Mytilus edulis: one gene and its partner. The protein of the gene in region 1 interacts with the protein of each later gene in a pairwise test. Links are inferred from orthologs where the notes say so. Each region holds a gene or a part of one and is shown on either strand. Other genes may lie near its edges. The genes, in order: glutaredoxin-3-like and anamorsin homolog.

Region 1 (7,400 bases):
TGTTTTTATCTAAGGCCGGAGAAGTGTTATAAAGTTCACCTCACTTTATTTCCGTATCATCTGTTACAGTAATTATAATTGACAGATCAGCAACTCTCACATGTCTGCACATTCTTAAATAAACATGTAATTAAATAGATCAATTGAAGTTCTTATACACATGTTGTCATTCTATAGTCTGACCATCAAACGATGTACTTGTTAATAAATTAGTTAGAGAAACTGGATTGTATTATTACATAGCAAATATATTACAAAAGTAACATTCAAAACCAAGGAGTAAACAAAGACTCACAAAACAAAAAGACATTTACATCAACAGTTTTAAATAATAAATAAGAAACAACACGAACTCCACTAAAAACCGGGAGTGAAATCAGGTGCTCAATTACATCACAGAAAGAGTGAATTTGAGAAATTTGTTTTTTGATTTTTATACGACCGCAAATTTTGAAAAAATTTTCGTCGTATATTGCTATCACGTTGGCGTCGGCGTCGTCGTCGTCGTCGTCGTCGTCGTCGTCGTCGTCGTCGTCGTCCGGCGTCCGAATACTTTTAGTTTTCGCACTCTAACTTTAGTAAAAGTGAATGGAAATCTATGAAATTTTAACACAAGGTTTATGACCACAAAAGGAAGGTTGGTATTGATTTTGGGAGTTTTGGTCCCAACACTTTAGGAATTAGGGGCCAAAAAGGGCCCAAATAAGCATTTTCTTGGTTTTCGCACTATAACTTTAGTTTAAGTTAATAGAAATCTATGAAATTTTGACACAAGGTTTATGACCACAAAAGAATGGTTGGGATTGATTTTGGGAGTTTTGGTCTCAACAGTTTAGGAATTAGGGGCCAAAAAAGGGCCCAAATAAGCATTATTCTTGGTTTTCGCACAATAACATTAGTTTAAGTAAATAGAAATCAATGAAATTTAAACACAATGTTAATGACTACAAAAGGAAGGTTGGTATTGATTTTGGGAGTTTAAGTCCCAACAGTTTAGGAATTAGGGGCCAAAAAGGGACCCAAATAAGCATTTTTCTTGGTTTTCGCACCATAACGTTAGTATAAGTAAATAGAAATCTATGAAATTTAAACACAAGGTTTATGACCATAAAAGAAAGGTTGGGTTTGATTTTGGGAGTTTTGGTCCCAATATAATAAGGGGCCCAAAGGGTCCAAAATTAAACTTTTGTTTGATTTCATCAAAATTGAATAATTGGGGTTCTTTGATATGCTGAATCTAACTGTCATGACTGTGTATGTAGATTCTTAACTTTTGGTCCCGTTTTCAAATTGGTCTACATTAAGGTCCAAAGGGTCCAAAATTAAACTTAGTTTGATTTTGACAAAAAATGAATCAGTTAGGTTCTTTGATATGCTGAATCTAAAAATGTACTTAGATTCTTGATTATTGGCCCAGTTTTCAAGTTGGTCCAAATCGGGGTCCAAAATTAAACTTTGTTTGATTTCATCAAAAATTGAATAAATGGGGTTCTTTGATATACCAAATCTAACTGTGTATGTAGATTCTTCATTTTTGGTCCTGTTTTCAAATTGGTCTACACTTAAGTCCAAAGGGTCCAAAATTAAACTTAGTCTGATTTTAACAAAAATTGAAATCTTGAAGTTCTTTGATATGCTGAATTCAAAAATGTACTTAGATTTTTATACGACCGCAAAATTTGAAAAATTTTTCGTCGTATATTGCTATCACGTTGGCGTCGGCGTCGTCGTCGTCGTCGTCGTCGTCGTCGTCGTCGTCGTCGTCGTCGTCGTCCGGCGTCCGAATACTTTTAGTTTTCGCACTCTAACTTTAGTAAAAGTGAATGGAAATCTATGAAATTTTAACACAAGGTTTATGACCACAAAAGGAAGGTTGGTATTGATTTTGGGAGTTTTGGTCCCAACATTTTAGGAATTAGGGGCCAAAAAGGGCCCAAATAAGCATTTTCTTGGTTTTCGCACTATAACTTTAGTTTAAGTGAATAGAAATCTATGAAATTTTGACACAAGGTTTATGACCACAAAAGGAAGGTTGGGATTGATTTTGGGGGTTTTGGTTCCAACAGTTTAGGAATTAAGGGCCAAAAAAGGGCCCAAATAAGCATTATCCTTGGTTTTCGCACAATAACTTTAGTATAAGTAAATAGAAATCAATGAAATTTTAGCACAAGGTTTATGACCACAAAAGGAAGGTTGGGATTGATTTTTGGAGTTGAGGTCACAACAGTTTATGAATTAGGGGCCAAAAAGGGGCCCTATTAAGCATTATTTTTGGTTTTTGCACCATAACTTTAGTATAAGTAAATAGAAATCTATGAAATTTAAACACAAGGTTTATGACCATAAAAGGAAGGTTGGGTTTGATTTTGGGAGTTTTGGTCCCAACAGTTTAGGAATAAGGGGCCCAAAGGGTCCAAAATTGAACTTTGTGTGATTTCATCAAAAATTGAATAATTGGGGTTCTTTGATATACCGTATCTAACTATGTATGTAGATTCTTAATTTTTGGTCCCGTTTTCAAATTGGTTTACATTAAGGTCCAAAGGGTCCAAAATTAAACTTAGTTTGATTTTAACAAAAATTGAATCCTTTGGGTTCTTTGATATGCTGAATTTAAAAATGTACTTAGATATTTAATTATTGGCCTAGTTTTCAAGTTGGTCCAAATGGGGGTCCAAAATTAAACTTTGTTTGATTTCTTCAAAAATTGAATAAATGGGTTCTTTGATATGCCAAATCTAACTGTGTATGTTGATTCTTAATTTTTGGTCCAGTTTTCAAATTGGTCTACATTAAGGTCCAAAGGGTCCAAATTAAACTAAGTTTGATTTTAACAAAAATTAAATTCTTGGGCTTATTTGATATGCTTTATCTAAATATGTACTTTGATTTTTGATTATGGGCCCAGTTTTCAAGTTGGTCCAAATCAGGATTCCATATCAAGTATTGTGCAATAGCAAGAAATTTTCAATTGCACAGTATTGCACAATAGCAAGAAATATCTAATTGCACAATATTGTGCAATAGCAATTAATTTTCAATTGGAGTTATCTTTCTTTGTATAGAATAGTAGTTGATAATATATGTTGGAAATTTGCCAGACATGACTATGATGTCATTTTCTATTTTTATTTGCCAATAACTTTATGTAAATAACTTCATTGGAAATTTGCCAATATAAAATGTTGCTGATGAAGCTTTTTTTCCTTATCTTATCTAAAATGTTTTAGATAATGTATGTTGGAAATTTGCCAGACATGACTATGATGTCATTTTCTATTTTTATTTGCCAATAACTTTATGTAAATAACTTCATTGGAAATTTGCCATTATAAAATGTTGCTGATGAAGTTTTTTTTATTGTTTTATACAATAAACAATGTATATTCACTTTTACTACCAACCAATCTTTACCATTCAGTGATAACAAGCACTTTATTTTACATTTTAATATTTTATGATGTATTTAAAAGAGTAGTTATTGTTGCAAACTCCATTAGAAATTTGAATTGATATCAGTTTTGGAAAAAGGGAAACGGGGATGTGAAAAAAGGGGGGGGGGTTAAATTTTTCTCATTTCAGATTTCATAAATAAAAAGAAAATTTCTTCAAACATTTTTTTGAGAGGATTAATATTCAACAGCATAGTCAATTGCTCAAAGGCAAAAAAAAACTTTTAAGTTCATTAGACCACATTCATTCTGTGTCAGAAACCTATGCTGTGTCAACTATTTAATTTTAGATTTAAATAAGAAGAAATCTTTAATTGATTTGTAAAATCTTGACATTTGTTTTGTGTAAAAAAAACCATGTAATGTCAAAAATTTGATCACAATCCAAATTCAGAGCTGTATCACGCTTGAATGTTTTGTCCATACTTGCCCCAACTGGTCAGGGTTCGACCTCTGCGGTCGTATAAAGCTGCGCCCTGCGGAGCACCTGGTTACTTTTTGATTTATAATTTTTAGTAAACATGTAAATCATTTTATTGTCTATACAGTAAACTATGTCTAATGATATACTTGTGTCATTTTAATTTATTGTATCATCTATGCATGTCTTGTATCTATCAAACTCATGCCCTTTATCATGATTAAATATAGGTCATATGGTGCAGGAGTAAAAAAAAAACGCGTTACTGTTTTTTTAAGATTTACGAATTTAAATTGTTACAGTTTATAAGATTAATCAAAATTGTCATATGATAAATTCGTACTGGAATGGAAGTCATTTATTTGGCGTTCTTTACTTGACTTTTTTTTTACAGTAACGTTTGGTAATTTGCTAAATTTAAATTGTTACTTCCCTTTATTTGTCCTTGTTCCCAGTAATAAATATTCCTACACTGCTAACTCAAACCTGTATCATTATATCAGGGTACCAGATCATTATTACAGAGGAAAATGGCAAAAGTTCGGGAAACATCTTCAGTCAAAGAATTTAATGAATTACTCGATAATTCAGACAGGTACACTTATAAACTATGATCTGACACAGTATATTAATGAAACTTAAGAATTACATAATGAAAGAAATATTAAAATGCACTGCTGTTCAATGGTAGTCCAAATAATTATGACGTCTGGCAAAGCTATTTTAATTTTTTAAATCTGCATTAAGGTTCATCATAACCTTTTGGCTAAAATGGCCGTATTTACACCCCAAATTTTACTCTGAGTACAGACTAACATATACACCTGCAACAGTTTTAAGGGATGGCAGGAACTAGATATATAAATTTTAAATGCATTTTATGTTTCAGAAAATTATAAACTTTTCTAAATTTTGCTATCCATTTTTTTTCGTTCCTGCAGAAGGTGCAAAAATTAACTAAGTAGGGAAAACGATTGAGAAGCTCCCCTCATATAATCAATGTTGTGAGTAGTATTGATTTAAATGGACAATAGATGGACACTAGACACCTGTAAACAATAGGTGATTTAACAGGTTTAAACTGTGTAACTGAGTGGACCGTATCAAATGAAACTCTGGTGTTTGTTTATTTTGCTATCTTCTGCAGACTGGAAAAAAATGAACATCAAAATCCAGGTAAGTTTTTAATTATCTGAAACGTAGACTTCATATAAGGCCACACCAATTTGATCCCTTGTTCGACGGACCCGCCCGCACCTATTTTTTTCAAAACAGAATTTTTTTATTTTTTTTATATTCCCGCTTCCCGCATCCGGAATTGTAATCATGTCCATTTCCCGCACCGTTTTTTTGTGTAAATATTATAAAAAGATATCAACATTTGTTAAATCACAGTCTAACTTGTATATAACGATTTTAAACATAAAAGCACCCCAACACACTGTGTAAATATCTGTGAGAATATTTGTTTCAGAATGAAACCTGGAGTGCTCCGATAAAAAGTTATAACAGCGGGTATTTCCGTGAGGAACAAAAAATTGGTTTCTTTCCCCCTTACTTATATTCCCTATCAAAACATGTTCGTGGTTAGAATAAAGTACAAAGAACTTCTGAAGGATTTTCCTTCAACTGCAATTATATTGTATGCTGGCGAAACAAAACTATCCATAGCCGCTGCATGTTTATGCACCTGTCCTGATTGATTCAGGAGCATGTTCAGCAGTTATCGTTTGTTGATGTTGTTCATTGGTATTTTCCCGTTTGGATATATAAATTAGATCGTTGGTTTTCCTGTTCGAATTGTGTACGCTAATAATTTTGGAGTCCTTTAAAGCTTGCTGTTTGGTCTGTATCAAAGCCCTGTGTAAAAGGCTGCACTTTGACCTGTGTTTGTTATTATCAGGTTGAGAAAAACCCTCCCTAGCTCAGACAAGGGGTCATTCAATCTAATTAAAAACCGATCTCTCATCGCTCCTGTTTCTGATATGTCGCGTGGGAGATCTAACGAAACCCGCTTTGAGGTCACATGTGAGTGACCTCGTAGGTGTGTCTTTTTCGACCAATGAAATTGAGTCTTCCACGATCTTGGAAGTTTAACGTAAGGCAAAGGGATGTAACTCATTTTATTTACGACGAAATCGTCAGTCAAAATAATTCATAAACTTGTTTGATTGGCTTATTAATAGGTCGTCAACTCATTTGCATATCTTTATAAATTCATAACTTTTAGTTCACTCACATGTGACCTCAAAGCCGGTTTCGTTAGATCTCCCACGCGACATATCAGAAACAGGAGCATTGAGAGATCGGTTTTTAATTAGATTGGGGGTCATTTTACTGATGTAGAAAAGAAAATAGAAATACCAAGGATTTGTATAGTTCTTCTATACAAAACCTTTGAACACTTAGAATTTTGTACTCAAAAAGAGGAGAGTTACATCATATTTTAAATAAATTTTTCTAAAAGAGGGGTCCACTTATTTTGAATAATATTAAACTGTTGAAGGAAATGTGTTAACATGGTTAAAGTCCAGGAATATTACTAAATTCTTGGACATGTTTTGACCATTTAATACCAGATAGATATATAGTTCTATGAGAAAATATGAGCCCTTTTGTACAAACAAATATATTATTACTTATATTGATCCCTCAAAAAACATGTAAAAGGGATATTTATAACATTAAGGGGTTGCCCCCAAACTGATTATGATTTGGATGGAGAATTGTCTCATTGTCAGTCACACATACATAGACCAGATTTAATTATTTCTTGGTGAACAGGGAAAAAATACTTCAGAAATCAAAGAAATGTCAAAGTACAAGTGATAAATCAAGTTTTAATATTGTCAAAACCTATTATTTTATGTTTACAAAAAAAAAATATAATCGCTCGCCTTCACTTTTCAAGCTTCGCCTCAAAAATTTGCAAATTAAATATTTTTTTATTAAAATTTTCAAATCGCTCGCTCGCCCCAAATTTTGGAGTCCAAAAATCCGTAGAACAAGAAATTAAATTGGTGTGGCCTAACTTTTATATATCTAGTTCCTGCCATGCCTTAAAACTTTCCTGGATGTACCAGTTTGTCTGTACTCGTAGTAATTTTTGAGGTGTAAACACGGCCATATTTTTCAATTCCGTATGATGAACCTTAAATGGCGAAAATTGAAACCTATATAAATTCATATGTTCATGTTAAGTGTTTCAGCTGCGCACACCTAAATAAGTATTTTTTGATAAGTTTAATATATTATACATAAATATATTATTATGAGAAATCATATACATGTACGACAATCCAAGATGAGGGGTCAGTAGAAGCCTTTGGCTTATGTAACGACCCGAAGATAAATTTAAGGTATGAAGGTATATAATGAATGATTGATACATTGATTATATTGATAGGGAGGTCAGGCTCAGCCAAAATATGAAGTATAGACCCAGCTAACACATAATATTTTCATAATATTATTGACTAGTTATATATATGTTTTTCAAAAATATTTACCAAAAAATATTTTAAAGA
Region 2 (7,368 bases), on another chromosome or scaffold:
ACAATGTACATTTACTTACGGACAGTTTCTCAGACGAATTGGCAAGAACAAACTGGCCAATGTCATTATTCGAATCAATCAAGAACAATTTTGTTCTTGCATTAGTAAGCACCAATTCAAAAATGTTAAAAAAGTTCACTTAAGATAAGTGCACAGAAATAAATGCAAGTAGCAGAGTTTATAATTTGAAAACTGCATATCTATTAGCGTTATTTAGCTAATTTACAGGTTGCAAACTTGTAGTAATGTGACAAGTATAAAATAAAACTTGACTCAGTGAAGACAATTTAATATTAAAATGTACCTTTTCACTTCAGGCTGTTGGTCTGTTCTGGACTTTGTCCTTTTCTTCCAACCACTCAGTGTACATAAGTTTGATGGCAAGGAATCATTTAGCTTTCCTATAAATATATGCACAGACATATATACATGATATAAGAGAACTGGTTTATCTGTAAAGAGGTGGATGAGACAGTTAACCACTAAAGATGTCAGTATACATCTACAATAGGTAAACATCTTGAAAACATTCCTTTAAAGCAGTGGTGAATATCGTCATAGTAGAAGTTCTCTTATATAGAGAGCATTGATTTCTTTTTTAAATCTGACATGCTGATGGTACATTGTAGTTCTGTGATAGATTCATAACCTACAAACATGTAGTTGCTGGAAACAATCATTTATAATGTTTATGAGGTGAGGGGAATTAAGAGCATATTTTATGGACCTGTCTTTGTTGAAGATTGTATGATGTCCTCATATTAAAATAATTTGGATTATTATAATTCATTTGCTAGCTTAAGAATTGTTAGGTTGTATGAACATGCTGTATTGTCGTTGAGCCTCATTCGTAACCTCACAGTCACATGCCTGAAGTGTCTTGGTAAGTGCATGTGTAGGTTTTTTGCTCACAAGTGCAGTGTTGATACATACAATGACAATCTGCACTATTCTGCAGTCCTGGAATAATAATGCACTAGAATAAATACTCACCTGTTTTTTGTTTTTCTGTTTGATCTTTACTCTCATCTGAAAATATACAGAATACATGCGTTTTATAAATGCAACATGAAGCACATTTAATTTTATGGTAGTCGATTTTTATTTGAATACATATAAAAAATGATACCTATATAAACATTTCTGATAGTTGGGGTGTTAAGGTCAATCTTAGTTGCAAATATTAAATTACCACCAAAAAGAGGTATATTCCCAAGACTAGTTAGTAGGTGATATATATTTTATGATTGTGGTAATCTACAGTTGTATTATAATACATAAAACTATGTTACAATTTTACTGAATGCTGATGGTGCAAAATTGTCTGGCATTGAACTATGAGCTGTTGAACGTATGTATCATGTGTGTATTGTGTATCATTTCCTTTACTATCAATGTCACTTTTCTTGGAAATACATCACTTACATCATGTACATATTCCAGTGATTGGACACCTATTAAGGCATTATATATGTACAAATGTAATCAAATTTTAACCCTTTCAACGCTACACAAAAAAATAGAAAAATGGCTGCTGCTGCTGCATTTTTTTTTTAGTTCATTCATTAGAACAGTATTTTCCTTTTCAGACTGCTGTATCTTTTTTATTATATGAGATACAGAGAAAGTTATTGCATGAAAAATTCTCAGGAGAGCATGAACTGTAATGTTAGGCAATTATTTTACTGAAATTTTTATCAGGTTACCTGCGTTTTCAGGTAATTAACAGGTAAAAGGTGTAATTTATTACATTTGTGTTGAATTTTGAATAAAAACTACTTTTAGTCTTCATTTATTTTGTTGTTTTATCTGCCATATTGTAAAGAAGACACCAGTTGCCCGATTCCGTAGCGTATTGTACCATACATAACGTTTTATGTAATCGTGGCACAAATAAATAGCTCCATCCTAAAAAAATTCAGTCAACCTCCGTTTTCCCCCCTTTTTCTACGTCTCGTAATGATCGATCAAATCATATTTCCCACACGAATTTAATGTAATAAACACTTTGAGATAACAAGAAACCTTTTAACTAATCCTCGTTGTTAGTTTCGCCAAGGAAATGCTGAAATTTTTCCATATTTACAGCTTCGTTTCCGATTTCCGCCATTTGCATTTGTCAAAATATTTGTTTTTATTTACCTTCTATTTTCCTTCTACTGCATGATTTTACTATAAAAATTGTCGGGATTTCAAGCGCAAATGAGACCTTGCATATCCTAGATTCAAACGAGGAAAAATTAGAGAGAACCCGAATGAAAACCGAATGGTTCAAGAGTCCTTATGAAAAATCCTTTTTCATCGCGGCATATGCCGCGAATAGCAGTGGCGAACGGCGTACGTCATCGCGGCATATGCCGTGTATAGCGTTGAAAGGGTTAAGACTTATACATTTTGTTTTTTGAAAAAGAAGATACAACAATGTACTTTTACTACCAGTCTTCAGTGTACCCATACCCGACATGGTAGCGTGGGGTAATGAGAAAAAATGTTTTATATATGGGGTTTATATATTAATTAATATCATTGATGAACATGCTGAAAGTTTCTCACTGCTCACAGCACACTTATATATCTTATATTACCTGAGGCCTCAGGTAGGCCTTTCTCATTTACAGGAGTGTGACACATGGATCTTGTAAGACGTCTAGCCTCTTGCTTAGGTGTACCCTCAAGTTTTTCAATCTCTTGTTCAGCATCCTCAATGACATCCACTCCATTACATATGTCTTCATCATCTTTCTCATTTTCATGATCAACATCTAAAATAAAAATAATTTACCATATAAATATACATGTAGTCATGTAAAAATTATATTTGTTATGTTTGTCATGTTTGTATGGTAAAATAATATGTTGTGGGTATATTTGTTAATGTTTGTAGGCCCCATGGGGACCTAATTTGAAAATTAAAATAAAAAATCCTATCTTATAATCAATTTATGATAAGGCCAAAAATAACAGGTTTCATATAACAAGCTGTAAAATATTAGGGTCAGTAGGTCAGTAGGAAAGCAAATTTTTCATCTTTCAAAAATGCATGATATCACTGGCTGTGTGGACATGGTGGATTCCACTGTTAGTCTTAAAATCATTCAAGGGACGAACGTTGGAATGATTGGTTGAAAATAATACTGAAAAGCGCATGGGACCAACAGACTTACAAGTATTTATTTCTCATAATATAAAAATAAGATGATTAATCTAAATGAATATGAATATAATTTAAATATAAGACATTATTTGATCACATACATGTATCCCAAACTCTTGTCTCACTGTCAAAATGTCAGACAAAAAATCAATCAGTCAGACAGAACTTTTTAAGTTGAATGTTCAAATTTCTATTTCTGTCAAAAAAACCCTAAAACAGTTTGGCACAGATTGAGATTTGGTATGAATAATAAGAATATCTTCATCAGAGACCAAATGACATTGAATAGAAGAGGGACATAATGGGGGTACAGTACGGTAAGAGATTTACTACAGTAAACTTTAGTCTTTAAAATTAAAAATGTCTTCAATTTCCAAATGGCAAGCTAGAGCAACCGATGTTTGACAATATGTTTCTTATGTCTGGGACTGTCAAAATATGGCCTATGCCTATGTAGGAAGTTAAGTTCTTGTAACTTTTTACTAATTGATTTTACACATAATTTGATATTAAGTCAAAGAATGTAATGGCACACAAAATTATAATTTATATCATTTCACATTTGTCACTATTTGGACATATATTGTGTATGCCGATAATGGGTGCTTATTTATTTACCAAACCAACGATCAACATCTTCATCGTCACATGCAGTTGAGAAATCAACAAACTGAGGCGCGTTAAATTCCCAACTACAATCCATATTTTTAGGATCCTCCATTCCTATTTTGATTTTCCTTCAACATTCAATCTACCCGCACTTTCAATTTTGACCAATCAAAATCATACTAAAAAAAAAAGGTGTTGCAGTAAGAAAAAGTCTCTGTGATTGGTCAAATAATTTCCAATCTAGACTGGTATTATCTTTACAAAATACAGGACTATGAGCTAAACAGAAAAATTACAAGAAACCAGTCTAGTTAATTAAAACTTCAAATGAAACAATTATGAATTCAAAGAAAATAAATTACGAAATAATGTTTCTAATAAAGGACTTGAAAAATATATTTCCCTTTTCGAATTTGAATAGATTGCAATTATGTTTCGGACTTCCTGTTCAAGGTGAAGGTCGAAGGTCATTAAGAAGAAAGTAGTAACAAACTGAAAGTAGGTTATTTGTTCTGAATTAATAGTGTTTTTCATTACCCTATGGACAAAGTGGTACATGTATTAAAGAGGTTTAAATTATCGATTTTTTTACCCCTTTATTTTCTATAAATGGCAATCAAGTAAGTTATACTGTTGTTGTTCAGTTCGAATAAGACACCAACGTTTTGACAGTCATACACCTTATCGCTATTCCCGGCTGACCCGTCCGCTTGAACTTTTGACGTCAACAACAATCACTTTTCCATTGTGGCGTCAGACATTTTGTTTTATGACGTCAAAATTTTACGGGAACCTGTGTGATTTCCAGCAATGGCGGACAAATAGCGATAAGGTGTATTATACAACCTTTTATTTGGGAAAAGCTCTTGAAGAAAATTCTAGAATGTGACCTTAATGCTTTTTGTCTATCATTCATTACAAGACATCACTGCCGCAATTTTTAAATTTTGTTGTTACAAGAAAAAATGTCTTGCACCCCAAACAGGGTTCGACAATAACGCTAGCCCAATACTAGTAACTTTTGTGTCGGGCTAGTAAATGTCCGTGGCGCGGTAGCCCAAGGGGCTTGTAAATTTATTTGTGATTGAACATCAATGTGTTGTACTTTCGGCAAAGTACAGTCCAAACCCTGGTCATATCTAACAACTTCGTCCAATATTGTCTACACTGGTTTCGCAATCTCTTTATTTACATACAGATACTGATACTGGAGGGTAAAATTACTACCGTAAACCAGTCGCTATATATAGTAAACTCGGCCTATGATTACTCGGCCCATAAAGTAAGAATGCCCCACGTTTCAAGATAACCCGTTTTGAAATAAACATTAATTATACTGCATATACATTTTGGTTTTATTATATTTTATTATTAATCACATCAGAGATCTTGATAAATCGTGTGCATAGTTTAGCCTTATCTATTACATAGTCGTCGCGTAAATAGTTTAAATTGGAAATGTCCTTTCGTTCTTAAAATAGAGCGTTGAAAGGTTCCCTGTAAGGCTGTTGAAATTTTCCTTTACTCCTTTTCAAAGGTACACGTGGTGATGAAAACTTTTCGATCTTCTCTGTCTTTATCGAATTAGTGTTTGTCATGTCGTCATAATTCTTTTAGTATTGCTCGGGATTTATCATTACAGTTGCAATGGACTGAAACGAAAGTAAATTTCCGGTAATAATATTTATGTGATGAGCTTCTTTTTGAGAGCTGAGGGGTGATGATGATAACAAGACTAAGCCATTGGTATCAGAAAGCGTCCATGGCACGTACCGGGATGTATGCATGTCATAATGTATTAACGAGAACAGGGTTAAAACTCGTCATGAGACAAATCAGTTGGAACATGAAGACTCGCATCAGAAACCAAAAGTAAAATAGGGGACAAGTCAACTTATTTATGTAAATAAAATTAAACAAAAACATTGGTTTTTATACGCCCGTCAAAATTTTGACGGGACGTATTATGGTGTCCGGTGTCTATCCGTCTGTCTGTCCGTCTGTCCGGCGTAAACATGTCACACCGTAACTTGAGAACGACTTATCTAAATTTCATGAAACTTAATATAGTTGTTTTTTATGATGGTCAAATGATCTGTATACTTTTTGGTGAAAATATGATTTAAAATTTTTGAGTTACGGCACTTTGTAACTAAAACATGTCGCACCTTAAACGATTTTTGATTATTGCTTAAAACTTTACACACTTCTTAGTTATATTAATCTTAATATCTGTATACTTTTTGGTGATGATTCAAAATTTCATTTTTGAGTTGTTGAGTATTTTGTAAAAAAGGGGGAGGGGGTTTATACATGTCGTGCCGTATCTCAAAAACGATGTATGATTATTGCTTAAAACTTTACACACTTCTTTGTTATATTAATCTAAAGATCTGTATACTTTTTGGTGATGACTCAAAATTTTATTATTGAGTTCTTGAGTATTTTGTAAAAAAGGGGAGGTTTTTTTTTACATGTCGCGCCGTATCTCAAAAACAATTTATGATTATTGCTTGAAACTGTACACACTTCTTTTTTATATTAATCTAAAGATCTGTATACTTTTTGGTTTGATTCAAAATTTTATTTTAGTGATAATTGTAAAAAAAAAAACAGGGTGGGGGGGGGGGGGGGGGGGGGGGTTCACATGTCCCGCCATGTCTTAAAAACAATAAATGGTTATTGCTTAAAACTTTATCAGAAACTATTTATGATTATTGCATAAAACTTCCACACAAGATGTCGGGCGTATCATGCGCTCATGGCGCAGCTGTTTATTTTTAATTTGATTATTTTAGTTGATGAGTTTTTTGTAAGCAAAAAAAATGTCCCATGAAATTGTATCTTCTTGAACTATATTTCACAATTCATCTGTGAAATTTCGTTCAGGGACAGAATATCACATTTTTAAACTATTTTATAAAATAGTGTCTCCCTTAGTGAAAAATTGTCCCAAGTGCTTGGACATAATTTCATGGATGTTTTATAAAAATATGTCACAAGGGACAATTAATCTTTAATCTAGGAACTATTTTTTTTAAAGTAGGTCTGGAATATACAAATGTTAATGTTTGACTAAAAATGTTAACACAATAAATATTTAAGATATATCATCAATTCATTAACAGTAAAAATGCACAGAACACATCAATAATAGTTCTAGTCTAAGATTACTCCAAACTCCATCAGCAAGCTTGGGCCATGGGACTGCAGAGCTAGTTCCAACAGAAAGTGGATATTGGGAAAACATAAATTCATAAATTCTCCTAAATTCTGTAGTTTTCATTTGTTTCGATGCACAGTACATACGTACATGTACATTTAAGTTTGAACATTTGGGCAATTAAAGGAGTAGGTCCGGTAAGAACCGATTTTGGCCTCAAATTTCAGGTTCATCTGACGAAAGATTTTCACAACTTTTTGAACATTTAAGTGTCTATTTCATTTGAATTAACTAGTTTATGTGAAAATTTTTAACTGATTTAGTCATTAAAAACGATCCGATTCAAGCTCAAATATGAAAAATCTACCAAATATGCCAAAAAATATCACTTTTCAGATGTTTTTTTGTCAAAAATGAAAGTGGCCGCATCCGTGTTCCATGC

What was found.
Region 2: the proteins of glutaredoxin-3-like (region 1) and anamorsin homolog interact in binary tests that used the Homo sapiens proteins (3 or more experiments, as listed by UniProt). The link is inferred for Mytilus edulis from reciprocal best matches to the Homo sapiens genes GLRX3 and CIAPIN1.

The regions. Positions count from the first base shown.
Region 1 is NC_092347.1:91,572,161-91,579,560, forward strand, and holds the start of glutaredoxin-3-like, read left to right. Parts: upstream 1-4,310; 5' UTR 4,311-4,403; coding exon 4,404-4,468; intron 4,469-7,400. UniProt on the Homo sapiens protein: Together with BOLA2, acts as a cytosolic iron-sulfur (Fe-S) cluster assembly factor that facilitates [2Fe-2S] cluster insertion into a subset of cytosolic proteins.
Region 2 is NC_092348.1:975,257-982,624, reverse strand, and holds the start of anamorsin homolog, read left to right. Parts: upstream 1-4,232; 5' UTR 4,233-4,261; exon of another isoform or gene 4,262-4,383; intron 4,384-7,368. Other genes in the region: targeting protein for Xklp2 homolog, read right to left, coding at 305-401, 994-1,029, 2,586-2,762, 3,773-3,875. UniProt on the Homo sapiens protein: Component of the cytosolic iron-sulfur (Fe-S) protein assembly (CIA) machinery required for the maturation of extramitochondrial Fe-S proteins.